Linked DNA regions of Drosophila melanogaster. The protein of the gene in region 3 purifies or fractionates together with the protein of the main gene of each other region. This does not show direct contact. Each region holds a gene or a part of one and is shown on either strand. Other genes may lie near its edges.

Region 1 (10,362 bases), on a different chromosome or scaffold from region 3:
CAATGCACGCGGATCCAATGCCGTACTTTAGCTTCTTGCGCCTGGAAAAAATATATAATTATCAATTTATGACAGGTTGTAAATTTCCACGGAAACTTACTGCAACTCATGAACCAGATGACCAGTGATGCGAGAGCCACTGGCACCCAGAGGATGGCCCAAGGCGATGGCGCCTCCGTTCACATTCAGTTTGGAGGTATCCAACTTCAGGGCATCGGCGCAAGCCAATGTCTGGGCAGCAAAGGCTTCGTTGATCTCAATCAGATCAATATCCTCCAGTTTCTTGCCGGAAACCTTCAGGACGTTCTGAATGGCGGGTACTGGGCCAATGCCCATGATCTCAGGCTTGACTCCGACAAAGGAGAAGGCCACTAGACGGGCCAGAGGCTTCAGGTTGTACTCCTTAAGCGCCTCCTCGGAGGCCACGATCACTGCGGAGGCACCATCACAGATTCCGGATGCTGTTCCGGCAGTCACAACGCCGTTCTTCTTAAACAGCGAAGGCAGCTTGTTCAGACCCTCGATGGTGGTCTTGGGACGTGGGTGCTCGTCCACCACAAAGTCCACTTCCTTTCCCTTGACCTTAAGTTTGATGGGTGTGATCTCGGCATTGAATGCTCCCTCCTTCTGACCCTTCTCCCAGTTCTTTTGCGAGAGCAGAGAGAACTCATCCACACGCTCCCTACTGATCTTGTACTGATCGGCCAGGTTCTCAGCGGTCAGAGCCATGGGCAGCTTGCAGTAGGTATCGGTGAGGCCAGCCCATAGAGCATCCTCCAGATTGTAGCTGGCACCCAAGGTGGTTCCGAATCTCACATTACGGGCAATGAAAGGGCTCTGTGACATGTTCTCCACGCCGCCGGTAAGGGCTATCTTGGCACCGCCGACCAGGATGTCCTGGGCTCCGTTTACGATCGACTGGAAGCCGGAACCGCAAAGCCGGTTGATTCCAAGGGCGGGCTTCTCGATGGGCACACCGCAGTTGAGACCCACATGACGGGGCACATAAATACCATCGGTGGAGGAGGACTGCGAAGTGGAAGAGAAGAGATTTTTAAGACTTACAAGTTACAAAAAAACATAATATAAGCATGTAGTTCCAGTTTTTGATCTACTGAGTTTGCAATTAAGCAATAATAACAAATAAATATCGAGTAAATTAATTTACATAACCAGATGTACAAGTATTTTATCACATTTACATATTTCTTTTAGTTTAATAACATCTTAATATTGTTTTAATCCGACGCCTTAAGAGTTTCTATTTTAGGATCTTCAATCCAACTTACCGCGATCACATTTCCCACGATGACGGTGTCCACTTGCTCACCCTTAAGACCGGCAGCATCCAGGGCAGCCTTGGCCGCCGTGGTTTGCAATTGGGTCTGGTTGATGCCCTTCAAGGATCCACCGAAGGTTCCGAAGGCCGTACGCTTGGCAGCCACAATATAGATACCTTTACAAAGGAGAAGAAACATACGAACATATGTATAACATATATAATGTGCGTAGTGATAGCACAAATTTAGCTCGAACGAAGGCGGATTTTTGTTTTCGATTCAACAGGTCCAAAGTGCAACCGGCTGGACGCGGGGGGGGGGGATAGCATCAGATAAGACACCAACGAGTCCAAAGTTCAGATCTCTCTAGCGAGATCATCTCTTATCTAGACTTCCAACAGCATAGGCATATCCTAAAGGATTCACATAATTACCTTTGGTTGCGGCAGACATTTTCTAAGGTGGGTTCACTCTTAAATAAAACAACAAATAAATTAATGCAAGTAAAGGCGACTATCGCACTGCAATAACTTTCGACTTCTGGTCGCGATTCGCCGCCATCGCCGACATATTATTGGATGAAAGCTCGAAAAGCTTTACCCCGCTCTCTGACAAACAAAGTGAGACAAGCCCACCGATTACAGCTGTAGAATACACTGTGCAAAATTAGCTGCAGTTTGTTCCTTCCTTTGTTCTTAGTGACGATTAGTCACCATCGCTGAATTTCGATTTTTGATGAAACTCAATCAATCCTCTAGTTTTTAAATACAAGTCTCTTTAATGCGTTCTTAATGTATATTTATCAAAGCAATTTTGCATACTTAAGTACTCCTTACAAAATGTTGATCATACAATGTTTTAAAGTTGGTCTTCATTAGAAAGTTTTTTATTAATTTAACTTGCATTTGTATTGGGTTTTCCTAATAAGAAGACAATAAGATTGTTATAGTTTCCAAATAAACAATCCGTACTTGGCAAAAAATTAAAAAAAATTGTACTGCTATGATACCGATATCATTCATATTTGTATGTACTATTTTTTTCATTACGAAAGAAAATGCTTCAGTTTTAATTAGACTTTATACTTGAAAACTATGACAGAGTTGAGTGAAATACAAATCTCATTGAGGACAATGGGTGTCGGGTTGTACTGGAGACGGGGTTGCTTAAGTTCTGTATTTATTATAAAGTAGTATGCAATCTCTCTAGGTCTAGGGCGAGTTGGAGATGTCCATGTTGTCCGACTTCTCGACACTAACCGATTTGCGTGACTTCGAATCGGCGCTGGATCGTGAGCTCTTAACCTCAGTGTCCTCAGAGATGGATTTGAGTTTGCGAGTTTCGGGAGTACGGGAGCGGTCGCGCCGCCGGGATGACTTGGCGGAAACGATGACCGGATCCTTGCTGCGACTGGACCGTGACTTACTGCCGGTAGCTGGCGGCGGCGAGGGAGAGCTGCGCTTGCTTCTAGATCGGGGAGAACGTGAAGAGTGCTTCTCGCTGCGGTGTGACTTCTTGCTGCGCTCGCGGGATCGGGAACGTTTGCCGTTGCCACTGCCTCCTCCACCGGTGCCATGGGAACGCGAGCTACGTGAGCGTGAGGTGCTGCGGCGATGGCGGGACCTGGAGCGCTTGCCACGCGACCTTGAGGAGCGAGAGTGCTTGCCGCCACGGGAGCGTGATCTCCTGGAACGTGAGGAGCTGCGACGGTGTCGTGATCTTGAGCGCTTGCTGCGAGAACGGGACGAGTGCTTGCCACGCGACCTAGAGCGGCGTGATCGGGACACACTACGTCGCTCTCTGGAACCGGAACGCCTGGAACGGCGTCTCGATGTGGAACGATGCGAGCGGGATCGACTGGTGCGACGGTCCCGGGAACGGGACCGTGATCTCGACCTGCGGCGCTTGTCCTTAGCGAGCATTCCAATTACCGGATCAATGGCCGCTGAGATCATACTCTGCGCCTCTTTCACAATGGTCATGGCCTCCTCAATCTCAGCCTGCGCTGCCTCATTCGACTTTGCCTCCGGCTTGGTTATGGAATACGTGGAGTGGTAGACGCTTAGATGGCCACCCTTGAACTCCTGGCCCTGCATGCGCAGGGCGTGAATAATGCTGGTCTGTTCGCAGAACTCAATCATGCAGTACGTCTTGTTATCCTTCTCGGCCCAACGGGCATACTTCACCTCCCCAGCGCGCTGAAAGCATTCCATCAGATCGTCTAGCCGCCACTCGTTCTTAACATCGCACACGATAATGGTGCGCCGAATCTCCTCGATTTTGCGCGCATCGTAGAACGAGGGTAAGGCCGGGTACTCCGGCAGATTGAATTCCACCAACTTGGGGTCGTACGTCTTGATCACTTGCTGCGGCAGCTGTCCCTCGATGCGGTTAATGACTTCGGGCGGTAGCTTGGAGTCCGGCTTCTGGAGTCCCGGCACAATGGTTCCGTTCTTGAGCATCTCCAGGGCCCGATACTCCTCGGGTATGGCCAGAACGGGTATGACAATTAGGGCGCGATCGATGAACACCGTGTTGGTCAAGTGCTGGGCCACCGGCACACTGGTCGTGTCCGTGTATTTCACATAGCAGATGCGCGACTGCACCGGACAGGAGACATCACGGATTGTCGGGTACAGGCGGATCTCCTCTATCTTGCCAATGTTCCCGAACAGCGTCTGCATCTGGTCCTTGGTGGCCTGCGGCGCTATGTTGGTCACCTGGATCACACGCGGGGTGTTGCCGCCAGCCATGTTTGCCAGTTTATCGGTTTGCCCTTGGCTCGGCAAGCGGTTTATTTGCAATAAAAGTGTTTTCAATTAACCTACAAGAGCAAGCGAAAAAAAGAGAGGGTTGCAACGCGTCCCAATGTTTCGATTGTTGGCCGATTGCTTGCGGTAAGCCGATAACATCTGGCAACTCTGGCAACTTTCTTAATTTACCGCCAGTTTGGGATTTTTTTAAGTTTCTTTCTTTCATTTTGGCATCGGTTTTAATTACTTACGGTTAGGTTGACGAAATCAAATCATATACGATATATACAAAAGCAAATTGTTAGATAATCTCATAGAAGCTTACACTAATGCGTTACAGTTCGATAAAAATAAATGAAAAATAATAATAATCATTAAGCTAATACTTAAATTGGCGCACAGTGTGACCGCATTCCGTTGGAGAAATAGAAATAGGTTTTATCGGGATAATCAAACGGCCGCACTAGCATGCGAATATTCACAAATACCAACTTAAGATTGTAGGAGTTGCAAACAGAATTTGTTAATAAGGACTGACAGATTGCCAGGAAGCGTTTCGCCTTGTCCCACGATGTCGGACAGCACAGTGGCCGCATCTGCGTCGGCCTCCGCCTCATCGTCCGCGAAGTCGAGCCTCAGCGATCTGCGTCAGTTCCGCATCAACAAGAATGCTTCCTCTGTCGTCGCTAGTCCTTCGAGAACTGGTACTTGCTGAGCTAAAATTCCAAGCGATTGACACGGTAGCTAACTGCCTGATTTCAGAGCGTGTGCCTGGAAAGAAGCGCATCCAGGTGATGGCCGATAGTGACAGCGATGGCAACGACTCCCAGACGCCCAAGAAGACCAAACTGGAGCTGACCGTTAAGGAAAAGGAGGAGCGCTACATGGCAGCCGCCAAGATTTCGCCCCACTTTGACACAATGGTAGGTTTCCGGCCGAAATGCCACCAAGGTAAAACGGGGCGATTCGCGGGGAAACGCGCGTCTCTGCATCTGAGTTCGGGGAACATGGCGATTCGGTTCGGCCCGGCGTTGCGAACAGCTGTCGTTAGCCAGGGGCGTCACTGACGGGGATGGGAGCAGTAATAACCCTCTCGTGTAACTGTTTCCACTACTTTGGTGTGCCTCATATAAAATATTTCCGGACATTATCACCGTTCTTATTTGAATTTTAAAATTAATCAGAATATTTTATAGCTTAAAATTGCTCATTTTTAATGCAATATTTTGCATAAATCTCGATTTTAACTGAAATAAATTTCAAATATGTTCCGTAGGCCATCCAGGAGTCTCTTTCCCGCACCAATTGGGATGTGGCCGCTTCCGTGCGATACCTAAGGGAGAACTGCAAGCCCAAGGGGCACAATGGACCACTGGCCAAGTCCAAGCTGAAACCCAGGTCAAACGGAATTAGTGGAGGCAACTTCTCGGATAACGACCATTCGGACGACGATGATGTGAAGCAGTCCAAGGACCAGGTGTATGATAGCGATGACAGCGATAGCGAGATGTCCACCAAGATGACGGGGCAACGTAAAAAAGTTTTCCAGTTTATGAACGAGGCTTCGCTAATTGAACTCCAGTCAGTTAAAACGCTGTCCGAGAAGAAGGCATTAGCCATCATTGATGTGCGACCATTTAGTGATTGGTCTGATTTGCGCCAAAAGCTGGAGAGCATCAGGATGTCGGGTGATCTTTTGAATTACGCTCAAGAGCTGATTAACAAACAGAACACGGTGGCCGCTATTCTAAGTAAGTGCAATAACATGGTGTCGCGTCTGGAGAAGGCGATTTCCAATGGTGCTGGCATTGTGGAGCAACCTAAGCTTCTTAGCAGCGGGTGAGCCTTAACCAGCATGCATGTCCCCATTTGTGTTTCTATTTTCGTTCCTCTTGCAGTCTACAGCTGGCTGATTATCAGATAATTGGCCTTAATTGGCTCACCGTAATGCACAAACAAGAAATGAATGGCATTTTGGCAGATGAAATGGGTCTGGGCAAGACAATTCAGGTTATTGCATTTCTGGCCTATCTAAAGGAGAATGGTCTTAGCCAGGCTGCACATTTAATTGTGGTGCCCTCGTCCACGCTGGATAATTGGGAGGCAGAGATTAGCCGCTGGTGTCCCGAACTGGTGGTGGAGAAGTACCATGGCTCGCAGGACGAGCGAAGGAGAATGCGAGGCCGCTTTGCCAAGGATGGATTTACCGGCTTTGATGTTCTTCTGACCACGTAAATATCCACAAAGCCATAAAAGAATCTAAGCTTAAATTTCTTGTACATTTTGAACAGATATCACATTGTGGGATCCACGCCGGAGGAGAGGAAAATGTTCCGGGTTTGCAAGTTGGACTACGTCATTTTTGATGAAGCCCATATGCTGAAGAACATGACCACGCAACGCTATGCTAACCTTATAACCATAAACGCTAGGATGCGAATCCTGCTCACTGGAACTCCGCTGCAGAACAATCTGCTGGAGCTAATCTCTCTGCTCTGCTTCGTGATGCCCAAATTCTTTGCCAAGAGCATTGAGGACATAAAATCGTTGTTTGCTAAGGTAAAACAAAGATTGGTTTCACACAAAACAATATATAAACTTCATGTTCCTTGCAGAAGGGAAAAAGCGATGGAGATCAGGATGAGGTTTCACAGTTCCAGGAAACACAAATCCAGAGAGCAAAGCGTATCATGAAGCCATTTGTACTCAGACGGCTTAAGAAAGATGTCCTTAAGAACCTGCCCAAGAAGCTAAGCCTGGTGGTAAGTACGTCGGGCGAAAATAAATATTATACAATAATTAAATTGTTTTTTATTTAAAGGAAAAAGTGCCCATGAGCAGTCAACAGAAAATATACTATCACGAGCTGGTCGATTATTATTCCAATAACAAGGGCGAGGTGTGCAGCAGCAGCGAAAGGGCCGGCATAGCGATCATGATGGAGATGCGCCGCATTGCAAACCATCCGTTGCTGATGCGTCACTACTTCACCGACGCCAATCTACGTGGATTCTCTAAGCGCCTGGCTAATGCCAGTTCCTTTAAAAAGACCAACGAGCAATACATCTTTGAAGAGCTAGCCGTTATGTCAGACTTTCAGGTCTATCAGATGATGAACAAGCATGTAAGTGACTATCAAAGAGGTTGTCCAATGACAATGACTAAATTTGTGCATCTTTCAGGAGTTTTACGACGTGAAAATACCCGATAATTTGATATGCGATTCTGGAAAATTCCTCTACCTGGATACGTTGCTTCCAAAACTGAAGGCAGAAGGACACCGTGTGTTGCTTTTCAGCCAGTTCACCATGATGCTGGACATTGTGGAGGAGTATCTGCGAATACGAAAGTTTGGTTTCTGTCGCCTGGACGGGGCGACCGCCGTAAATGTCCGCCAGGATTTGATCACCGACTTCAATGGGGACGATAGCATCTTTGTGTTCCTACTCTCCACCAAAGCCGGTGGCGTTGGCATCAACCTGACGGCTGCCGACACCTGTGTCATTCACGATATCGACTTCAACCCGTACAACGATAAACAGGCCGAGGATCGGTGTCATCGCATGGGACAGCAGCGTCCGGTGACCATTTACCGTCTCATTTCCGAGAGTACCATCGAGGAGGGCATCCTGATGGCCGCCGAAGAGAAGCTAAAACTAGAAAAGGACATTACTTCCAACGAGAAGGGCGAGGTGCACGAGCAGCGATGTGTGGTCAAGCTGTTGACCACAGCCCTTGGCTTGGACAAGGATCAGGAGGAGCAGCTAAACAATTCACTAAACAACTCCATAGCCTCGCCCGCCAAATAGGCATTCTCGTTGTCCTCGTTCTCGTCCTTGTCCCCACCTCCGTATTTATTCTGCGCGAGCATTTGATCAACTTGGTCTAATCGTCCTACCGCTGTCAAATCCTGTTAACATCGTTTGAATTATTCTAACAATATTGTATTTGTATATTTTTTAAACTTGTATGCAAGGAGAGATTTGGTGTATGGTATGCCAAAAGTGGATCATAAATCGAGTTAGTAATTTTTCACCGTTGAGGCGACATTAGTTTTTCTTCATTAGTAACAGCAACATTTCCACGATAAACCAAGGCAGACAAGTTAATATTCTTGTTTTATTGATTTGTCATCATGATTAGTTTTCATTTCTGTAATTTCTGTTTATGTATCGAATTGAAACTATTGTTATAAGGATAAAGATCATTTTGTGTACGAATGCGATCATGTTCATTTATTTCTACATATTTGCTCTATAGTTCGAGCCGCTCGACAACCCTAAACGGATCGCTCTCGCATTTTCCCACGAGATTCTTTTGGTTGTGTGGTGCAAAGAGAAGCGGAGAATCGCTTTCCAGAGAGCACAACTGTAATGAAGAGCTTTCGGCTGGCGCGGCGATTCATCAAGTCTTTAGTCTTCAACTGATCGCTCGCGCCGATGATTTAATTTTTAAGTTAAAGCCTGCGCCCAGTGTAGCAGCCGGCAGCGTTACTCACATCCATATACATACATACGTGCGAATATACATACATGCTCACATAATACGGCGTACATCGATAAATAGATATACCCCGCAGATATAGTGTCTCGATCGACAGCAACGAACCCATGGAAACCTAAAGTAAAACCAAAATTCCAAGGTTCCATTGTCCCGTAGTTAAATGTGTTTAAATCCAATTACATCCCCGATCCTTTATATTTTGCTCTTACGAATCGGGATTATGTGATTCATGCATAAGTACATACGTTTCCTCCCCGAATACTTTCTTGAATTCTATTTAAAAATAGACAAACTGTTTGCGAGCGGAAATCATATTGTGCCGCGGCGGCGACTAAAACGCTAAATAAATCGGGCCAATAATTTGAAATAGTCTGTTCTTTTTTTTATTTTGTCTTTCTGCCAGCCCGCTGATATTATTGTTTTTGACCAACGGAAACGGAAGCAACGCCAACTGCATATAGGTTTATAGATGTATCTACATAGTGCTGCGATACAGTCATCATTCGCAGCGCTGTCATATACTATAAATATAGATGCGGCGGCACATGTGAGCAGTTTTTGGCAATTGCCAAAGAATACGGCGCACAAGTCGGGTGAAAACAAACAGCGCGTGCAGGCTAAACATGAAGAGTAGTATAGGAAAATATAAATAACAATTAATAATCCCCTCATTTTGGCCGCGCCTGTATGCGTGTAGTGACCGCTTGTATGTGTACGTGTGAGAGTAATCCGAACAATAACTATATTATATACATAAATAGCGAGCGATCTGCATTAAATGAGAGAAAAATCACAATAAAAAGAAAAACGAACGAACACAACAACGCGAACAAAAATTAAGAAACCAAAACGGAATCGGTAATAATTGACGACGAGCAGACAACGAGCCGAGAACAAGCAGCACAAAGCGACAAACCAAAAATAGACGATACCAACGGTGCGTATACTTAACGAGCCACCCGCTCATATCACTCATCTCGCCCTCTCGCTCGCACAGCAGCCACCAGTCATCCGAGCAAAAGCAACAACAATAGGCACTAAAATCAATTGTGATCACAGTGCGTTTGTGTGAGTGCGTATGCGTATGCGTATCTGTGCCTTTTTTTGCATTTGCCGCTGTATCTGCCTGCATCTGTATCTGTGTCTAGAGGCCCGCAATCCATAACCATCTAGTGTATTACCCCATATGCGGACTATTTGGGCGTGGAGGGACGCTTCGAAATATTAATTATTTCTGACACTGTTTACGGCTTGACTTGGCGCATGCCAAGCATGATTAAACGAGACACGAAAGAGCGTATCTACGAAGTAGATAAATATCTTTATACGAACAACTAAGCTGCGGCACCAAGCAACAATCGAATCGACGAATAGCAACAACGCACAAACAAACCCATCTATATATACACTATAGACAGAGATAAACAAAAGCTCAAGCAGCAACAGCAGCAGCAACAACGAAACAATTTGAAGGAAATATTTTTGCACTAAAAGGTGAGTATATCCGTCCATCCGACGCTGATTCATAATACCAGCCTAGCTTATTCCGAGCACTCTGTTTGGCAATCTGAGAATGGGAAGTGTAGAGCAATTAGCGAGGCAAGTTCACATTGCTATGATAGTAGTCACTCTCACAGGGCAGTTAACCTATGTAAGATTCTCTAAGTTCGTTAATTACCACATTTTGACAAGTTCATTGTTTTATTGATATAAGTGGATGGTACATATAAGTAAGAAGAGTCAAAGATTTATTCAAGCCACATTTTGTGATAATAGATGGTAGAGAGGCCTGACTGTACAATGTATCTTTCGTATGTATCTTTCGC
Region 2 (10,362 bases), on a different chromosome or scaffold from region 3:
ATAGATTCAACACTTTTTAACGTCGTGGTTTGTGCTTACAAGGTAAACGATGCGATTAACATTAATATACCGTATATATGTACGCTTAGGCGCTGGTCAATGCAGCCACGCCTGGCAGTGTCTTGCCCTCCAGGAGCTCCAGCGAAGCGCCGCCTCCGGTGGAGACGTGCGAGACGAGTGCCTCCGTGTTCCACTTGGCGCAGCAAGAGGCAGTGTCGCCGCCGCCGATGATGGAGACGGTGCCGTTCTTGGTGGCGGCCACCACGCCGTCCATGATGGACTTGGTGCCGTTGGCGAAGTTGGGGAACTCAAAGACACCGGGGGGTCTAAAATGGGAAAACCATTATAGGACATTTGGAGAAGTAGCTTCAGTGTGACACCTACCCGTTCCACACGATGAGCTTGGCGCGTGCGATGGGTGCCGCGAAGAGCTCACGGGTCTTGGGACCCACATCCAGACCCATGTGTCCATCGGGAATTCCGGCCTCCACGGTGGCCTCGCTGACGGCAGCGTTCTCGGCGAACTTGTCGCCGCAGACAAAGTCCACTGGCAGATGCAACTGCACGTTATTCTTCTTGGCCTTCTCCACCAGTTTCTCGACGATCTTGGAGCCCTCCTCGTCGAACAGGGAACCGCCGATCTTCATGTTGTTGAGGACCTTCAGGAAGGTGAAGGCCATGCCGCCACCGATGATCATCTCGTTGACCTTGTCCAGAAGGTTCTCAATCAGCTGGATCTTGTCGGCCACCTTGGCGCCACCGAGAATTGCCAGGAAGGGATTTGGTGGCTTGTCCAGGGCCTGCGAGAAGTACTTCAGCTCCTTGTTCAGCAACAGACCAGCTGCGCGCTGCTCGAAGCCATCGCCCATCATGGAACTGTGGGCGCGATGGGCAGTGCCGAAGGCGTCGTTGACATAGACATCGCCCAGCTTGGCCAGGCTGGCACGGAACTCCTTGACCTTGGCAGGATCGGCCTTGACCTTGCCGCCGCTGGCATCCAAGCCCTTGCCCTCCTCCTCCACGTAGAAGCGGACGTTCTCCAGCAGAATGACGGATCCCGGTGCGGGATCCTTGCAAGCGGCCTCCACTTCGCTGCCGACGCAGTCACTTAGGAAGATCACATCCTGGCCAAGCAGGGTCTTCAGCTCAGCGGCCACGGGTGCCAGGGTGTACTTGATGTTCTTGTTGCCATCGGGACGACCCAAGTGGGACATCAGCACCACCGACTTGGCTTTCTTGGAAAGGGCCAACTTGATACTATCCAAGGCAGCGACAATTCTCTGGTTGCTGGTGATCTTGCCCTCCTTGATGGGCACATTGAAGTCGACGCTGCAAAGAAGCACGGGCAATGTTTATGCAACTGAATTTCACGCGAGGATTGGCTTTGGATTACCGCATCAACACCCGCTTGCCCGCCAAGTCCAGGTTTTCGATGCTCAGCTTATTGAAGGCCATCTTTGGATTTTTCTGGATTTTCTGGATACTTCCTGTGCGTGCTAGCAAACTCCGGATTGCGATACCACTGATTCCGCGAATCTTCTTCGTCCTCAACTGCTGTGCGGCAATGTCAGCGCAAGGTCATTTTGTCGGTGAGCTGCTAGGGTTGCATCTCCACTTCCAGGGCGTCAATCCGTGGCAAGCGGTTTTCCGCCGATTGGTAGGTGCCATGCGCAGGATCCAGCTGGGTATACTCCTATTTTGGAGTCCGAAGTTGGTATCGGATTGTATTCTCGTTCGAAAGTTGGATAAAAGTTGTACTCTCCAAATGCAACTCTGTATTTGGCGCCCAAGCAGTGTTGGTAAGTGCTGTCAGCACAGTGCTGTGAAGCATCCGTTCCAAGGGTGTCGAAAAGGGGCCACACAATTCTAAAATTTAAAAATCTATTATTTAAAATATCATTATTTTCATAATATTTAAATATTGTCCATAGATAATCATATGCTAAAAATTAACAAAATAAATGTCTGCATATTCTGACTAGATCATTTAATTGATCATTTGCTATTTACAGTATACAATTTTTTTTATATTAACTTAAATAGAAACCGTTCATATAATATTTTCACTTAAATACATATAAAAATTATTTTTTTTAATAAATTTTTTATAATAAATTTTAACCCCTTAGAACTTTTTTCTTCCACACCCTTGAATGTCTGTTAAATTTTAACTGAAAGTCCGAATTAGTGATTTTTTATAAAAATTTATAATTAATTTATAAAAATAATAAAAAAAAAATTTAATAAATAATAATAATCTACGACGTACATACATATGTCCATACCGTATGTAACAGCCGCCCCTTTGATGTTTGTATGTCAATATGTAATTATTGAATAAATGATTTCTGTTGAGGCCAACAAAGTCAAATCACACAATCTTTCTCGGTGGCCGTTGTTTTATTTTGACTGTGCAAACGGATTCCGCTTATGATGCCATGATGATGGCTCCGCCTCTTCCCCCAATGATTCATTCATTGTTGCCCACTCTGTATCTCTACTCATCTCCGGCGGTCCAAGCAACCACCGGCGGCACTCGGCACTGGCACCACCAAACGCTAACCCACCGCATCACCACCCACCACCCAGCACACGGAACACCACCACCCACCACAAGTGCTCAGTGCAGCGAAATGCATGACGCAGATGGCAAAGTAAGGTATATGGGAACGAACGAGGTTGGGTTGGTTGCTGGCCATTCGGGGGTTTTCTAGCCAAAGTGGCGGGTTTTCAAAGAACTAATCTGCCCAAAGGACCAATTGTAATGTGAGCACATCACTAAAATAATCGATAGATTGCCATATCTGATGGGGTTTTGGGTGGCTGCCTGGGAGACTGGGGTGCGTATAAGCCTATTTGGGGCACTTCAGATGCAGCATTGCAGTGGTAGCGGCTGTCCTCCTTCATCCTTCAGCCAGCCGTCGGAAGAATGTCCACTCACACGTCACGGCTGTGGTGCTCTGCGCAATTAAGGCACCGCCGAGGACCCGGGTACCCACTGGTGATGACACCACGGCGCTGCTGCTGGGTCAGGTGGTATTGGAAATCGAAGACAATGGGGCTGCTTAAATTCATTTTAATAATTGCGTGTAAACCGCCCGTTGACGCAGGTGAAACGCAGGCGAGCAGGTGAGCCGGGCCAGTACATATACCTGGTCGAGTCGCGTCCATGTGGCCCGGCACTCGTGTGGAAACATTAGCACATGCCGGGAAAACGAGACCCGACTCCGAAAGTGTCCAATGCGACGGCGACGGCGATGACGTGCTAGCGCTAGAGATCAAGAATCCAGAGAGTCAAGCAGCCAAACAACAGCCAAGCGACCAAGCGAATCGCCCATCTAGCAACAGTCTAACAATCACTCTAATCGAGTCGTAAACCTGTTCATGTTGTTCCACCCAGCCATCTTGTTGGGTACCTAAGCGCTAGAAGGGACAGCCTATGGTGGCTATTCGTATGCGCTACAATTGGTTTTGTATCTGAACGGTGAGCTGCGCTACTCTTCATACATTGTTTACCATGCTATCGATGATATCATATCGAAATAAAGCTGTCAAAAGAACTGAAACTTCCGTTTTTGAAAAGCCTAACAACCCGATTAGAAGAAATCTATTAAGCACCGCATTAAGCTGAAAGAGCGAAAAACTTAATCGCCGTGAATACAAGCTGATGTGTGTGTTTTAGATACACATGCTAGCTGAAGCGTCTGGCTATCGATTGTGTTTGCATTGAGATTTGTTCGCACCTTTATGCTACAGCAAATTAATGACGCAACAACGTGTAAGTGCACTGGGAGAAATTCCTGAGGCAGGTCAGTAACGACAACGGTCGGGGAAAAATCCCTTGCGTTAGTTTCGTGTTCGAAAGGGCCATAAAATTTCCGAATCGACAGATGTTTGGGTTCCGGGAAGCAGGACCATCCATCCATTTCTGCCTGCTTGAGATCCTACCTACCCGGTGGTTGCCTGCATTTGAAACCGTTGTCTAACCTTGAAGTAACTACGGTCGTACCAACCAAGCCGATAACTCGAGAAATTGGCACAGGTTGTCCTCAGGAATCTAGATACCATTGTTCAACACCGAGAGGTGGTCTCACAAGCCCGATGAGCACGACTATTCGTATCGCGAGAGACCCACCAATCTTGGGCCGACGAGCGTCAAGCCACTCGAACGGATACTGAGAGTTCGGCGGACGGAAAGTGAGACAGTGACAGCCAGAGAAGAACGGTAGGCGGCCCATGGAAGCACAGCGAAATGGAGACGCAAATCGGCTTATCAGGCAGCGATGTTCAGGCAAAAAGTCATCGCTGCTCCTCAAATATGTGATAACTGAGTGGACGACGGGCCACGATTACAGGTGTTTACGTTCACCATGCCGCCTCGGTTGGGATGCCGCGGAACATGTTCGCCGGTTTTAATTAGCGATCCGCCTGTCGACAGTCGTCCGCTCGCTCTGTCGTCGACCGTATTATTCAGATTACCAGATATATAGCCTAGGTATTCGTATTTGCCATTGCTTTCGCACGAAAATAGCTGAAAGCGTGAGAGGCTGTCCAATCGAAACTCGACTGTTGGATACCCGGCAAACGATAGTTATTACCCTTTCGTCGATAGGCTACTGGAAATAGCACCAAGAACCTTATGTCTTCCGGTCGAATTCCTCTAGTATTACTTTATGGGTTGTTATTCCGCTCGTTAATGTGCACATTTTGAATGAACTTGAAGATCAACCTCGCAGTGATTGTCCCACTGATAACACAGATTTATAGAGAAGAGCCAGTACAACTCGAGCACGTTGACTACCAGGTGATATGGGCGATATGTTATAGCCTACTCGGCAGTTCCAGTTTCCCATATATTGGGCGATTCCTGAACCCACTGGGTTCGTGCGGCGAACGAAGCCATCACCATCAAATGGTCGAACCACAAGTGCGGGATCAACAGAAAGATTGGCACATGAAAAAAGAGTCAAGGGTGGACCCAATTCGACGAGTGATAGGCATTGGCATTTAAGTCGAAGTCTTTGGTGGGGCCATTAGGACTTAAGGATGTTTAATATTTCTGGAAATTGCCGATTTCGAAAACTAACCCTTAAATGTTTTCGAATCTTATGGGGTTGCAAATTGCTGTTTTCTTGCTATTTCTCCAGTTCTCTAATTCTAGTTTTAAGACGCATAATCCCGGAATAGAGCATTTCCCCGATTGCGTGCATCTAAATAGTTAGAATCTCAAAAATAGCTGCCCGCTTTCCTGGTCCGCGAAAATCACCTGCTTCCCCACACGTTACCAATCAATTGACCCCAATCCGCGACGACATTGCGTCCCACGCTGGTCCACTCTATAAATACGAATACCGTGCTGAATACAACACACAGCACACACATCTGCATCTGCGGCAACAATGCTGCAACACTTCTTCCCATCGGCAACATCCACATCCACTGTTCTGCTCTGTTCTGTTCTGTTCCACCGACGAACGGTCAGAACGCCACAGAGTGACTGCACCACACACACCACACACCACCATCGCCGCTACCAACCCCCAGACCCCGCCCCCAGGCCCACAAGCGCACCACTGGCGCGCGCAATTTTCAAATTTACCGCCAAACGCGCCCACAACCGTACTCACGGAACCCAAGCAGATTTTGTATGGAATTAATCAGGAAACCCACTCAACTTGTCATTTGCGGATCTAGTTTTGATCGCAGCGCCTCGGGAAAAAGCCCAAAATTAAGCGGATACTACCAGCTATAGCCTCGATCAGTCTCTGAACCGATCCGAACAAAGGTATTCAAGTTATAGGCAAAAATGTCTGCAACCGATTTGGCGCAAGAAGAAGCAAGCGGCAATTTCTAGCCATCGAACGGACGGCAAGCTCAGTCTTGTACGAACCGTCGACGGGAGCACATATCGGTGGTTAGCAAACCAAAGGAAAACGGATATTCCATACATCAGTGGGGCCTACGAGTAAATCCTTTTGCCTGCCGTAGCGCCGCCTGATATATGGCACCTCCTAAAGCCTTACTATATAGATACTATATTATCAGAAAATCACCGCAAAATAATATACCAAAAATCCAACGATCGCTCTGCTCTGGGCTGTTGTTGTTGTCTTATCGACTGCGGCTGTACAAATGCCGCGGCGATTTTTTGAGTGTATTGTATGGGCCAATGGCGTGGGAGAGAGAGAGCGAGTGAGCGTCGTAACGATTTCGGGGAGAGCGAAAAAGAGAGCAGCGAGAGCGTTTAAAGAAAGTTACTCTCTCCTCGAGAGGCAGTGCTTAAATAGACGGCCCGCAGCTGAATCGCATTCAGTGTGTTTGTGTGCTTCGTTCGGTGCGGTTCTCTCTGTCTCTCTCTCGCCTTCCCCGAGTATTTTGCGCTGGTTTTTTGTCAACAACAAGACAATCCACAAAACCAACCCGAATTGTTCTCTATATAACGCAGAAACTAAATAGTTCCGGAAAACCTCAAAGAAACCAATTCAAATATGTCGGCTGCTACGGAACAACAGAACAACGGCGATGTGGCCGTGGAGAAGGTGGCGGCAGATGATGTGTCTGCTGTCAAGGACGATCTCAAGGCGAAGGCGGCCGCCGAGGATAAGGCCGCTGCTGCCGATGCCGCCGGCGACGCGGCCGACAACGGTACGTCAAAGGACGGCGAGGATGCCGCCGATGCCGCCGCCGCTGCCCCCGCAAAGGAATCCGTGAAAGGCACCAAGAGGCCAGCAGAAGTGAGTACTGATCTATGTGACTAGGTAGTTGTTTACGCGGTAAAACCAAAAGGAGGCCCCTCTAATGATTCACTCCAAGCCAATATGCCAGTAGCATAGCATTGTTCGAGGAAAAATTCTAGAAATAGATATACACACGTTTTTCGGAACAGCGCACTCTCCCAATGGCTTACATATGCCCCCAAAAGAGAGAGCGTATAGCTGGCTCGGTTGTGCGTTTGTGTTGTTTACGATTAACCAAGATGATTGCGGGTCCGGCAATCAAAGATTATTGTTGTTAGGTTCAAATCGAGGTTAGGAGGGCCGCCGTGCTTATATAGGCGGGGAGTACAGTTAGCCAGGGCCTTTTCTTTGGTGGGGTGGGTAATGTGTTTTTAATAAACCCATAGGTCATTAGCATTGACGTGTCCGCTGAACAGCGTTACCCAGCAATAGATACATTGTGGCATTACGTCTATAACTCATACGCTTGGCCTTATTTATCAGTCGCTGTGGCTACGGGAATTGCAAATGCAAACGCAAACGCAATTCAGCGCGATGCCAATGCACTCTCTCAATGAAAACACACATTGCCGGCCGGTAAATTACTCATGTCATGTTTGGCCACTTTATTTTTGGTTAGTATCGCCAAGAGCACGCGGTATTCGAACAAGTTTTGGGGGCCTGAAGCAGTCGCATTCCATAATCGAGTAGCACATTTCTTGATAAAAATAAAATAGTTCGGCCAGTAAGGCAGATAAATTGGCAAATCAAGCGCTTTTCTCAGACTCAAACTCGAAATAAAAATGTACAGTTTAACGGGAGCGTTCTCTCGCTCTCTCTCTCTCTCCCCGGAGAAAGATAGATACAAATAGAGAGCGCTGCTAACTCTCTCCCTCGTAATTTGTATACACACCGTTTTGTCTGTTTGCGTATGTGCTTACATTTATCTTTCACTTTTTTTTCTGCTCTGCCTTATGCGTATTTATTTTAGTACATAAAACAAGACGGCTAAACAGGGTGTCGCAAAAGTTAGTTGGGTTTCTTCGGGATTCAATTGAATAATGATCATTATCCCATGATCATGAATTAGTTGAGATACGTTTGGCACGGATAATTCTTAGTGGTACAGTAACGAATTGTATAGATTTCAAGAATAGTTTTGAAAATTATTCGTTGGTTTCCATATCTTTCGATTCCAAACAACAGATTAGCTTTTGTCCCTATAAATGTATCTTCACGCTTAGAAAACACAAACTAAAACCTCTAACTAAATCAAGATACATTGATTACCCAGTTATAACACCAGTAATAGTAGGCTTAGTTCTTGCCAATACAGATACACCCTGTTCGTCTTAATCCTCTATTGGCCTTTTCTCGAGTTCTGGGTCTCGTGACTTATGCTGTAAGCGAAGTGAAAAAGGGGGGCGATGGGTGGCCATTAATTTTGCACATTTTTCCACAGTCCGATTGTTTTTCGCTTCTTCCGCTTTGTAACAGTCTGGTAAATAGGGCCCTTGTGTTGCGGCTTCTCTTCGACTTGGGAACGTGACCGCCTATATACTGCCATAAACCATATACCATTATGTGTATCTTGTTGTTGGTTGGTCAGCGGCAAAAGTTAAACCCACGCATGTTGTTGTTTTGCGCCTTTTTCGCTGCCGACGTCGCTGCAGCAGCTGTCGTTCGGATGGCTGTGAGTGAGAGCGAGAGATTCATTCATGCAGTTCAGGTACAGTTTACAGTGCTGCGGATTCAGATGCTCTCTCTCTGGCGCTCTCGCCCGCTCTCTATCTTACAGGGCACGCTTCGTTTCGTATCTCACGGATGCGGATACATATGTCGCTGCCGGCGTCGCTGCTTATTGTTTTTTTTTCCTTCCCCCTTATGTAGTAAATATGTCGCCTTGTACATACGGAGCACAGATGTAATGTAGCGCGGTTGCACTTGTAATCCACTCTCTCACGTACTCTCTCTCCCGCTGTCTCTTTTTGCCGCAGCGAATTACATTGGCGCGCGCATTTTTCAAATGTTTTTTTACGGCGAAAATAACGATTTTCGTCGCTGCTTGTTTTGTGTGCTGAAAATATACATTTTATGACTATGTACACACGCACAGGAAGTTGAGAGGGGTATTGGATGCCCTTGATCAAGGAGATGTGTGGGTTTGAGTTGGGCGCGTAGGACCATTTCGCTCCGTAATTCTCCCTAATATCCTTTAGTTTGTTTCTCAGATTAATATCAAAAATGCATAATTAATAGTGACGGGCCCCTTATTTCTGTTCAATAAACTTGCTTGTAATACAGTAAATCATCAGCGGAACAAAAACCAAAGGAACTCTACTAACTTCTCTTTTTTCGCTTCCAGGCCAAATCCGCAGAATCAAAGAAGGCCAAGAAGGCCGCGGCCGCCGATGGAGATTCCGATGAGGAAGAGGCTCTGGAGGAAATCATCGAGGGCGACAGTGAAATCGAGAGCGACGAGTACGACATCCCCTACGATGGTGAGGAGGATGACATTGAATGTGATGGTGAGTTCACGGAAGCACTTCCCTTTTCCACATCAATCTAATCCCCGGATTTTCCCTTTCCCTTACCCGCGCAGATGATGATGATGATAATGATGACGGTTCCGGCTCGGACGATCAGGCGTAATAATAATGTAGTCAAAAATACAAACAAAAACAAACAAAAATTTAAATTAATAATAAATAAAAGTTACAAGCAAAAACAAAACAAAAAAAATATAATAATAAACCAACAAGCAGAAAATAAACCACAACAAGGAGAAAATGAGGAGGAGGAGGAGAAAAAAACCACAAAAAAATCGCAAAAGTATATAATTTTTATGTTTAAGAAATAATTTTTTATTTCTTACCTTATTTTAATTGTATTTTATGTGTACTTTTTTTATAAAAAACTACAAAACAAACAAAAATTGTAATTGAAGGCATTTTCGTATAAACGCAACCTATACGGAATCCAACAAAAAGTAAACATCCCCACTATATACAAGAACAAAACAAAACCAAAATCTTTCTTTCCTTTATCTCATAAGTCCTAATTTAAACGCCCAGTTGATGCGTAAACCAAGATATACAAAGATTTCAAATGTAGCGTAAACGAAGCCCGCGAATTAAACACAGATACACTACACTCACACACACACACGATATTCAAATTCATTATTAAATTAGACGTTACATTTGTGAATGAATGATCGATCGAAAGAAGCAAAAATACAAAAGTGAACATTTGAAAATGAACATGATTATGAACATGAAAAAGAAACAGCAAATGCAATTAAATACAAAACAAATAAAACATAAAAATTGTATTTAAATAAATCGCAAAAATCATTGAAACCCCATACTCGACAAGCATTCAATGACACTCAAGTTTTAGCTATGGTTTCAAAAATTTCGCGCCCATTGTGGCCACAGTCACCCGAATTTCCCAAACCCAAGGCACTGGGACTTAGTTGGTCTTCGCTTTTGGGGCAAATACAAAAAAAAAAAACAAAAAAAAATGAAAGGAAAACATCGGGAAGTTTGAGTTCTAACCTTCTGTTTCGTTTCAGCATTTAACTATAAACTATGACTAATCTTAAGTACTTATGTCAGTATTAAAGCGAGGGCTTTATTATTCT
Region 3 (10,362 bases):
GAGTGGGAACGATGGGCGCCCGACGGATCACCCGCGGTACAACGGCCTGAGGCATATCCGCCACCTCGCCGGTGGCTGACTGACCAGCTCCTCCGCTTGGCTGATCTCCGAATCCGTACATCCGTTCGTGACGCTCGTGGACATTCCCGTCGAAGTCCTTGGACATTCGCCTGCTTGCTGAGGTTTTGGAAATATCGGGTGCGGGCAGAAGTGGAGCCACATGCACCGCAGCCGGAATGTTGGCACTGGTTCCTAGTCCTAGGCGCTGTTTAACATCGTTCAACGTTTGGCGTGCCTGCTGACGTGCCTTTTCTGCACCCACTTCCAGCAAGTAGATCATCTCGTTGCGCTTAGTCATGTGATGGTGTATCTGTTCTCGGATCGGACGCAAGTGCTCGACCACAGCCTCCGCCACACGGTCCTTATACTTTGCCGTGTCCAAAGTGGCGGCCTCGTTCACCACTGTCTTAATGCTCTGTCCCGTGACCTGGGCATGGATGTTGACCAGATTGCTGACGCCAGCACGCTTGCCAGGATTATAAGTAATGTCCGATGTAAAGTCTGTGACGGCTTTCTTTATCTTCTGCGTAATCAAGTCGGGCGAGTCACACAAGTTGATGGTGGCCTTGGGATTCGCTTCCGATTTAGACATCTTTTTGGAGGGATCTCGCAGGGACAGCACACGGGAGGCATCACCATCCTCAATGATGGCGGTGCAAACAGGGAAAGTCTCGCCATAGCGACCGTTATAAATTCTGGCCAAGTGCTGGGCCAGCTGAATGTGCTGAATCTGGTCAGCGCCCACAGGAACATGAGTGGACCTGATCGAAAAACGAATATGAATATTATAAGTACTATAATAAGTAAGCAAATGGCAAACCATTTCAGATATTAAAGGGTGGTTTAAAAATATGTAAAGCTGAACCAAAGCATTTAAGTCTGATAAGCAACTAGGACTCTTGCATTCCCGGCTTACATTCTGAACAAAAAACGGAATATATTTACTTACTTGTAAAGCATAATGTCGGCTGCTTGGAGAACCGGGTAAACGTACAATCCCAGAGGGACATCCTTTAGAAGACGGGACTTCTCTCGGAACTGCGGCAGTTGAGCCAATCGCGGCATGGTGGTCAAGGAGCTAAGGATCCAATTGAACTCGGCGTGCTCGGCAACGGCGGACTGGACAAAGAGGGTGCTCTTGGTGGGATCGATGCCACATGCCAACAACGTGGCGGCCATGGTGAAGATGTTCTCTCGCAGAAGCGGCGGATTGTGGGGCATGGTAATAGAGTGCAAATCCACAATACACACGGTGACATCGTCACGAGCATTCTGCAGCTGCACCCATTTGCGCACGGCGCCGAGATAATTACCCAGATGCAGGGAACCCGTCGGCTGGATGCCACTAAAGACTTTCCTCGGCCAGCGGGTGTTATGCTGGGTTGGGGTAATATATTAGAGTCTTGTGTTATGTAAACTATTTCTACGAATGCACTTACTTCTTCGTGGCCACTGTTAACGGAATTACCATGGGGGTGTACGTGCTGCTTGTTTCCACCGGTTACCTGGGCCGTCGCAGAGGGCGTTCCAGCCGTCCTACTAGCCAATCCCGGCAAGAAACTCCTCGCCTGAATGCAACGGCGCTGGGAATACACAGCTGTCTGTCCCTTTTTGGCCACCTTAGACAGACTGCGATGGAGCTTGCCAAATCGGAACATTGCAATGAGCTATGAATTTTGTACCCCAAAACTTTTGAGTAAAAAATATTGGGAATAATGCGGTGCTAAATGTGTGAACAAAGCCCAAAAATAAATTATTTGTTCGAAACGGCCGAAATTTTGACACTGAGCGTTCGCGAGCGTTGCCAGATGGCTTTTGAAAAGCCGGTACGACAGCTGTGAACAGTGATACTCAGCTTGGCGAGTTTTCCGCTAAATCGTGGATTAATATTAATATTCAAATTTAATAAAGAATGTTATTTATTATCATTTTTTTTATAACTCTCTATTTAAGGGTATTACCTATTTACATCTTACTTGTGAACGTATGGCTTGAAATTTAATGTAATTGTTTGATGGTAAATAAATTGTAGAGACCAATTGAACAATTTTTTTTTTTTAACAGGACTCCTATTATTTTTATGCTTATAGCTTTATTAGTGGTACACCAGAAAATCTAACGACATTGAAAAAGAATTAATCTGCAGAACTGCAGTTTCGAGTTTTCAAACAGTGTTGTATTTATTCTAGCTTAATACACATATTACATTGCAATTAACGCCTGGCGCCATTACCATTATTTATATTTTCCACTTTTCTGTTCCTACATTGAGAGTTACAAATATGCGGAGACTGTCGTTTCGGCCGTCAGGATAATTTTTCGAATAGGGGTTATTCAAAGATTTCAAACGCGGTGCAAAATTCTTCACTATCTGGCAGAGATTGGGAAGTGCTTAGAAGTTGATGGGTTTGCCAAAGGCAGCTGCCACATTGGCCTCACGCAGGGCCTCGGAACATGTCTGAAAGAAGGAATTGTGCGCATTAGGTTCGAAAGGTTCAAATCAGATTAGGTAATCACTTACTGGATGCGCATGGCAAACGCGGGCAACGTCCTCGGCAGCGGCTCCGTACTCCATGGCCAGCACAGCCTCGTTAATGAGCTCGCCGGCACCAGGTCCGATAATATGGGTTCCCAGGATCTTATCGGTGGCCTGGTCGGCCAGAACCTTGACGAAACCGTCGGTGTCGTTGTTGGTCTTGGCACGAGAGTTGGCCAGGAAGGGGAACTTGCCCACCTTGTAGGCAACACCCTCCTGCTTCAGTTGCTCCTCGCTCTTGCCAACCCACGCGACCTCGGGATGCGTGTAGACTACACTGGGCACGCAGTTGTAGTCGATGTGCACGTGGCCGCCGTTGATGCCCTCAATGGTGATGAGGCCCTCATCTTCAGCCTTGTGCGCCAACATGGGTCCGTGGATGCAGTCGCCGATGGCGTAAATATTGGGCACCACAGTTTGGAAAGTGGCGTTGACGGGGATCCTGCCGCGGTCATCCTTAACAATGCCCACGGCCTCCAGACCCAAACCTTCGGTGTAGGGACGACGTCCAACACTGACCAGCAGGGCGTCGCACTGGATCTCCTCTTTCTCGCCAGACTTGGCGTTCTCCACGGACACGGTGACGTTGTCGCCGCTGCGAGAGGCAGCCGTCACCTTGGTGCCCAGCTTGAACTTAAGACCCTGCTTGGTGAGCACCTTTTGGAACGTCTTGGAGACTTCGTTATCGATGCCCACGCCGCCGATCGTATCCATGAACTCAATGGCAGTGACCTCAGCGCCCAGACGCGACCATACCGAACCCAGCTCCAGGCCAATGACACCGGCGCCGATGACAACCAGATGCTTGGGCACCTTGGCCAGCTTCAGGGCGCCAGTGCTGCTCACAATAACTTCCTCGTCGATCTGTGAAGGTTTTTGAATGGCATGCATTAGTAATCAAGCGCGCTGTAGAGGTTTTGCACTTACTTCAATGCCAGGGAAGGGGGTAACCTCCGAGCCGGTGGCGATGAGGATGTTCTTGGTCTTGACAGTCTCCGTGGAGCCGTCGGATTTCTTAACCTCCACCTCGTTGGGATTGACGATGGTGCCGAAGCCCGTCAGCTGTGTGACCTTGTTCTTCTTGAAAAGCATGGCAATGCCACCGGTCAAAGCCTTCACGGCGTTGGACTTTTGACCCATAAGCTTCTCCAGATCCAGGCTAACGCTGCCGCAGCTAATACCACGTTTCTCCAGATCACCGGAGTGGGCCATGTGGTAGTAGTGGGAGTTGTTCAGCAGCGCCTTTGAGGGAATGCAGCCAACATTCAGGCAGGTGCCGCCCAGAGTTGCCTCCTTCTCCACGCTGACCGTCTTCATGCCCATCTGGGCGGCCTTGATGGCGGCGACATAGCCACCGGGTCCGGAGCCAATCACCACGATGTCCGCCTCGTGGGTGCTGGAGTAGCAGCGGGCGTTGAGGGCACCCAGAATGGCGGCATTGGTGCGCAGAGGAGTCTGTAAAGACGGCAGATTACTACATGTTGTGGCACCTTATCATTTATCACGCCAGTCGCACGCATTTCGCACTAATCTTCGGCCGACTATCAGCTGATAATTGGCCTAATTAGCGACCTTGAAAACGGGGCCAAACAAATCCCCAAACGCCAGTGAATCACCCACCGGGATCATATGAGCACTGCAGGTGATCCAAGTGCATTTTCCAGCCTTTTCCTGCCCATTTCTCGACCCCCTCGGTGAGGTTAGATTGCATAACTTGAGGGGCGATGGCGTTTGGGGAATCGGTTATGTCGCCCGATCCTTACCTTGGCTACTGCCGAAACAACATGACGGAGCGTGAATTGCATGGCTGGTGCGGGCGAGTTATGAGGATAATCGTTATTTAACTACAAACACAACACTAGTTTGATGTGTGTTTTTCCGACTGTTTTTCGTGTTGTGGGGCTCGGAGCGGTCGCAGGGCTGGCGATGTGCATTCGATAGTGGTCATATGATGGCCGCGATGCTATCGATTGTTTTGGTGATTTTCCACTCTGTTGGAATTTGAAATTCTAAAACATTTTCGTATGAAAAAGATGTGTATAAAAATATTAGCTTGATGATCGTTCAAAATACGATATGTCCGTCACTCAATTGCTAGTTTATACAATATTCACTTTATGGGTCATTTGTTGTAGCAAAAGCTACCTAAAAACAAGCCAACTATACGTGTAAGCCGGCTTTTATAGTTTTGGCACCCATTAATTAATGTTTTTGTACGTATAAAATAAACTGTAATAAATAAACTGTAAAATAACTGTTTTAAAAATATATAACTCAACGTACATACGATACATATATAATAAGAGTTCCAAAGTAATATTAACTTTATTATATCTATAGGTAATTAAAAATGTATTATACGATGAATATTCGATAGTTTGCCCTACAGTACAACCCTGTGTGGTATTCCCCATCTGGGATATTTCCCACAACACTTTTGGTATTTTCACGTCGCGTTCATCTCGCGTTTTCGTTGAAGCCTCAGTATTTCGCTAGCTGTCGCAATGCGGTCACACTGGTTCGCGGACACAACAAGATGGCGAGACTTGCCCCCGAAATCTGTTAGAAAACGCCACAAGAGCAAATAATTAGTTCAGTTTTCGACCAGAAAAGAGTCAGCCGAAGTGCCGGGCAGACGCGGCGCATTTTGCAGAGTGTGAGCTTGGCCAGCGTTGCCCGAGAGCCGCGACAGGCGACACCTTCTGCTGGCCTTGCCTTGTTGCTGTGCCCCTGTGTGCGTGAGCGTGTGCGGTGCGGTGCGATTGTGTGCGTGGGTTGCCAAGAGTGAAGAGAATCGCTGAGTTTCCAAGATGATGAGCAACTACGGCAACATGATGGACTCACCGAAGTCATCGCCCCACGGCGGCGGCCGATCACCCGTGGTGGCCCGTCAAGACTCATCCGGCACCCTGAAAACGACCATTTCGCTGGGCAAGACGCCAACGATCATTCACACGGGGCCATTTTACTCCATGAAGGAACCACCCGCCAAGGCAGAACTTACCGGCGACAAGGATCTCATGACCGAGTACGGACTGCACCACACACTCACCAAGTTCAAGGAGAAGAAGTTCAAGGAGTCGCTGGCCTCGTTTCTGCAGAACATCCCCGGCATTAACGACCTCATCACGCATCCCGTGGAGAATAGCACGCTGCGGAGCGTGATCGAAAAGCCGCCCATTGGTGGAAAGGAGCTTCTTCCGCTGACTCCCGTGCAGCTGGCCGGATTCCGCTTGCATCCCGGACCGGTTGGTTTTTCCAATATGCTTTTAATTCGCTTGCTCAGTTTGAAAAATGACGAATCTTTAGATACGGCACATTGAACATCTTAGAATACATTTAGACGCTATTCAATGCTTTGCGTCTCTATACATTTGCATGCATTAATTTCGCTTTTTAAAATTTGCATATGAAATTTGGATTTAAGTGTCCTTGCACAGACTGATCTACTATAAAGTGTTATTTGGTCGCACCTTTTCTGTCACTTATTTCTATAATCACCGTAGTATTTTAGAGTTGTAATTCATTTTCCTTATGTTCAACAACAAATTTGAAACACAAATATTTTAGTCATTAATCACAAAAATTACTTAAATTAACAAGAGTGTAAATGTTGGTTTTCCCTTTAAACCTCTTTTGAACAGTGTATATTAAGTCAGTAGTTCGCAACGCAGTGATCTATATGAACAGCTGAGTCGATAAGGCCATGTCCGCCTGCCCGTTTTCTTTCAGTTTTAAATTTTTGTTGCAAGTAGTGCATAAATCAGAACGCGCCAGTTTAGGCCACTAATTCATATTGCTGCCATATGGTTTAATATTATGATATTCAAAAAAAAAAAAAAAACTAACCTTCCTTGTTGACGGATTGTCCTTCCTTTCTTGTTATTGAAATATTGGCATTTAATATTATTGAGAGTTTTCTTTCACCCTATATGCAATCTAATAATAATAATAATTCATCTTAAAAGGTTTCGTGAAATATTTTTTACATGTCATATATTTCAAACAATGGATAAATCGTTACTAGAACAAATTGCATAAAATATATTATTTTTTTCCTCTGCACTTTCACATTGCTAATTTATCCGATTCTGGTGCTCCTTTCAGCTGCCGGAACAGTATCGTACCACATATGTCACACCTGCGCGTAAACACAAAAACAAACACAAAAAGCAAAAACACAAAGACGGGGTGACCACGGGACAGGAATCCACGCTGCTCGGTAAGCAATCTGCTGAATTATCGAGCAACTCGATCACACATAATCCAATGATAACCATCTTGCAGACTCGGCCGGCCTGGAGACTTACGAGAAAAAGCACAAGAAGCAGAAACGCCATGAGGACGACAAGGAGCGCAAGAAGCGCAAAAAGGAGAAAAAGCGTAAAAAGAAAAACCAGAGCCCCGAACCGGGCGTGGGCTTGCTGCCCGGAGGAGCGAGCTTGGGCGGAGCAGCGGGTGTAATGGGAGCCACTAGTCTGGGATCGCTGGGAGGAGGACCTGGAGGACCCGGGCTGTCCAGCCTTAGTGCCAGTATGGGACCTGGCGTTGTGGGGAACATGAATAGCTTCTCCTCATCGATGCAGATGCAGCAGCAACAGCAGATGCCCATGCAGCAACAGCAGATGTCAAGTGGCGGTCTGCTGGGATCTGTGCTGGGCACTAGTGGCGGTCCAGGTGGCGGCGGCGGAGGAGGAGGTGGTGGCGGGGGCGGCGTCGGTGGGAGTCTGCTTATGTCGCAGTTTTAGGCAGGATCCTTTAGCAAAATAGACTTGGCTCATTACCTCTCATCAGCAGACGCACCCCAAATGGCAACATAAAAAAAACGCAGAGGGCCTCGGTCCTCTACATGCAATTTTCTCGATATCGTTTCGTGTCCTAGTTATTAATTTATGATTATTGTAAATGTAAAATAGTTTATTTCTGTAATTAGCCAACAATTTTTCGTTCGTTTTCGCGCTAGCTTAATGAGATTTATTTAAACGCAAGTTATGGTACAAAACGCAAGAACGTTTTCGCTCTCGATTCCAGCTCTTCCCTCCACACAAACACACCCCTCGCCACGCCGCCACAAAAACGCTGCTTTGCAACCTCTTTAATTTGCTTACCAACCTTGTAACGTGTGTAGGGTCAGTATTTCAATTAAATTTCTGCAATGGTTTGTTCTTCCAGCAAGTTTATAAACACAAAAGAAAGCTGAGATTCAACAAAATAAAAATGCCTGTACTATAAGTAATTAATTTTAGTGATTAGGCACATAAAACAATAAACAAGCATAAAAATGATCAAAGTGTGTGTTTACAATAGTTTGGGGAGCTTAGTTCATTTTTCGAATATAAGCATTTGTTGCACAGAAGTTCTGCTTCCAAGGAGCCCTTAAATTCAAATTTGGCGCCAAACACTTGTTAGCACTCTGTTGACTTTAACATGGCGCATTAACAGCTACGCTGAAATCTGACAGATAGTAACATAGCCTTAACAGGCGCCAACAGCTGCTTTAATTCTCAGGGAGTTTCTCGCAATCGAGAGTCAATTAATAAATTAAAAGTGATGTGTATAAGATAGTCGTCGCTGCAAAGCCATAGATGAGTTGTAACTTCGCCAGATTTTCGCGACAGGCAGCTATCAACATGTACAAGCAGTCGTGCACCAATCTCCTGGAATTATCCTCCGCCAAGGTGACCGAGTGGCTAGCAGGCTTCGACAGTGTAATAACCGACTGCGATGGTAAGTCGGTGGTGGGGATGAGATACTACTAACTCGCACCCACCCAGGATTCCCCCCAGGAAGTTGCGTTACATAAAGATATGTGTATACCACATTCTGCCCAAATACGTCAGCAGCCAATAGTTTCTGTATTGTGGCTGCGTCGTTTATTTCAATGTCAAAGAGTGAAGTGCGTGATATGGCGGGAAGTCGACTTTCGGATGCCCTCATATCTTGTTAATCATCGTTATATTTAGTAAAGAGTAAAGCAGTAAAGAGCCGTTTGATAAATTCCCTAATGCTCATAGTGATGAGCCCTAAGTTTATTAATATTAGACAATCTTATCAATTCAAGGAAATCGTTATTATATACGCAATATCAAAAGTTGTGTTCAACCCCATTATTTATTAATTTTATGCAATAATGCCTTCTTTAATCATAACAGCTTTTATTTCTTTTCGTTTATGTATCTTTGCGAAGTTACCAATTTACTTAATTGGAATTAATTTCAAACTGTCCTCTTTGCCTTTGAATGATTAATTTATCAATTTTAGAAATAAATTACCAACAATATGAGTATACTTTTTGTAGATATTGAGAAATCAATAACGCCCTTTATAAAACTAGCAATGGCATTAATAAAACTAACAACTACAAAGTGAGAACCTATTTAGCACCGTTCTTTTTTTAATTTTAAGAAAATTCTTCTACAATATTAATCCATTTTTTCACATCAGGTGTCCTTTGGATCTATGGCCAGGCCCTGGAGGGCTCTGTGGATGTGATGAACCAGTTGAAGGGTATGGGAAAGTCGATCTACTTTTGCACTAACAACTCGACGAAGACCCGGTCGGAACTTCTCAAGAAAGGCGTCGAACTGGGCTTTCATATCAAGGAGAATGGCATTATATCAACGGCCCATGCCACAGCTGCGTACCTGAAACGACGGAACTTCAGCAAGCGGGTATTTGTGATCGGAAGCGAGGGAATCACCAAGGAACTGGACGCCGTGGGCATTCAGCACACTGAGGTGGGCCCGGAACCCATGAAGGGATCGCTGGCCGAGTTCATGGCACAGCATTTAAAACTGGACACGGACATCGGAGCCGTGGTCGTTGGCTTCGACGAACACTTCAGTTTTCCCAAGATGATGAAGGCCGCTTCCTACCTAAACGACCCGGAGTGTCTGTTCGTGGCTACCAATACGGATGAGCGTTTCCCCATGCCCAATATGATAGTACCAGGCAGCGGGAGCTTCGTGCGGGCCATTCAAACCTGTGCGGAGCGGGATCCTGTAGTGATCGGGAAGCCGAATCCTGCCATTTGTGAGTCTCTGGTCACGGAGAAGAAGATCGATCCATCGAGAACTCTGATGATCGGAGATCGAGCCAATACGGACATACTTCTTGGGTTCAATTGCGGCTTCCAGACCCTGCTTGTAGGTTCCGGAATCCATCAGCTGAAGGACGTGGAGCGTTGGAAGTTGAGCCAGGATCCCGAGGAGAAGAAGCTCATACCAGACGTGTACCTGCCCAAGTTGGGAGATCTGTTGCCGTCGATCGTGAACAGCCTGACGGACTTGAAATGAATCAGTAATCAGTAAATAGTACGGACATGTGTTTGTATAGATTTTACATTTAACTTCAATAGACAGGAAAGATTATTAATACTTAACGCAAATTTATAGTGCAATTTATACCACAGAACAAAGAATATTTAAATAAATTCAAAAGCATTTTGTGAGACGGATGATTTAACCGATATGCCCGACTCAATTTGTTTTTCCGAGCGAGCTTTGTGCGAAAGGGAGATAGCAGATTTTCCCCAATCACCGTGAATCGAAATCAGCCAGCCCGTCGCCGTCGATTTAGTTGAGTCGCAAGCATTTGGCGAAGCGGTCTACGAAGCAAAATGTCCAGAGGCGGTGCTATCGACTTGACCGGCCTATCCGAGGAGCAGGTGAGCGAGTGGCTCCAAAGTTTCGACACGGTTCTCTGCGACGGCGACGGTGAGTCTCAAGGGCGGCTAAGGTGCCACAGAGAGAGGGTTCATTGGGCTT

Evidence for each region.
Region 1: the proteins of CG7430 (region 3) and yip2 purify together in Drosophila melanogaster (affinity purification with mass spectrometry, with the first as the bait; one large-scale study listed by BioGRID). This does not show direct contact.
Region 2: the proteins of CG7430 (region 3) and Pgk purify together in Drosophila melanogaster (affinity purification with mass spectrometry, with the first as the bait; one large-scale study listed by BioGRID). This does not show direct contact.

The regions. Positions count from the first base shown.
Region 1 is NT_033779.5:9,906,719-9,917,080, reverse strand, and holds the start of yip2 (yippee interacting protein 2), read right to left. Parts: upstream 1,829-10,362; 5' UTR 1,734-1,828; coding exon 1,715-1,733; intron 1,457-1,714; coding exon 1,290-1,456; intron 1,030-1,289; coding exon 101-1,029; intron 42-100; coding exon 1-41. Other genes in the region: Srp54 (splicing regulatory protein 54), read right to left, coding at 2,492-4,033; Etl1, read left to right, coding at 4,605-4,737, 4,796-4,956, 5,310-5,872, 5,932-6,264, 6,325-6,592, 6,649-6,795, 6,855-7,157, 7,216-7,842.
Region 2 is NT_033779.5:2,746,927-2,757,288, forward strand, and holds the start of Pgk (phosphoglycerate kinase), read right to left. Parts: upstream 6,143-10,362; 5' UTR 6,069-6,142; intron 5,915-6,068; exon of another isoform or gene 5,519-5,914; intron 4,064-5,518; exon of another isoform or gene 3,988-4,063; intron 3,222-3,987; exon of another isoform or gene 3,153-3,221; intron 2,388-3,152; exon of another isoform or gene 2,286-2,387; intron 1,867-2,285; 5' UTR 1,456-1,866; coding exon 1,394-1,455; intron 1,330-1,393; coding exon 385-1,329; intron 327-384; coding exon 86-326; 3' UTR 1-85. Other genes in the region: Bacc (bacchus), read left to right, coding at 6,489-6,734, 9,082-9,244, 9,319-9,368. UniProt on the Drosophila melanogaster protein: Enzyme of the glycolytic pathway. Glycolysis is essential in glial cells but not in neurons; neurons rely on the citric acid cycle for their energy needs, and on lactate and alanine secreted into the hemolymph by glial cells to fuel it.
Region 3 is NT_037436.4:17,841,236-17,851,597, reverse strand, and holds CG7430 (uncharacterized protein), read right to left. Parts: upstream 4,683-10,362; 5' UTR 4,402-4,682; coding exon 4,360-4,401; intron 4,052-4,359; coding exon 3,524-4,051; intron 3,461-3,523; coding exon 2,582-3,460; intron 2,519-2,581; coding exon 2,453-2,518; 3' UTR 1,997-2,452; downstream 1-1,996. Other genes in the region: TrpRS-m (Tryptophanyl-tRNA synthetase, mitochondrial), read right to left, coding at 1-821, 1,010-1,437, 1,500-1,718; MED19 (mediator complex subunit 19), read left to right, coding at 5,407-5,844, 6,704-6,818, 6,884-7,344; CG5567 (uncharacterized protein), read left to right, coding at 8,182-8,323, 9,041-9,891; CG5577 (uncharacterized protein), read left to right, coding at 10,215-10,311.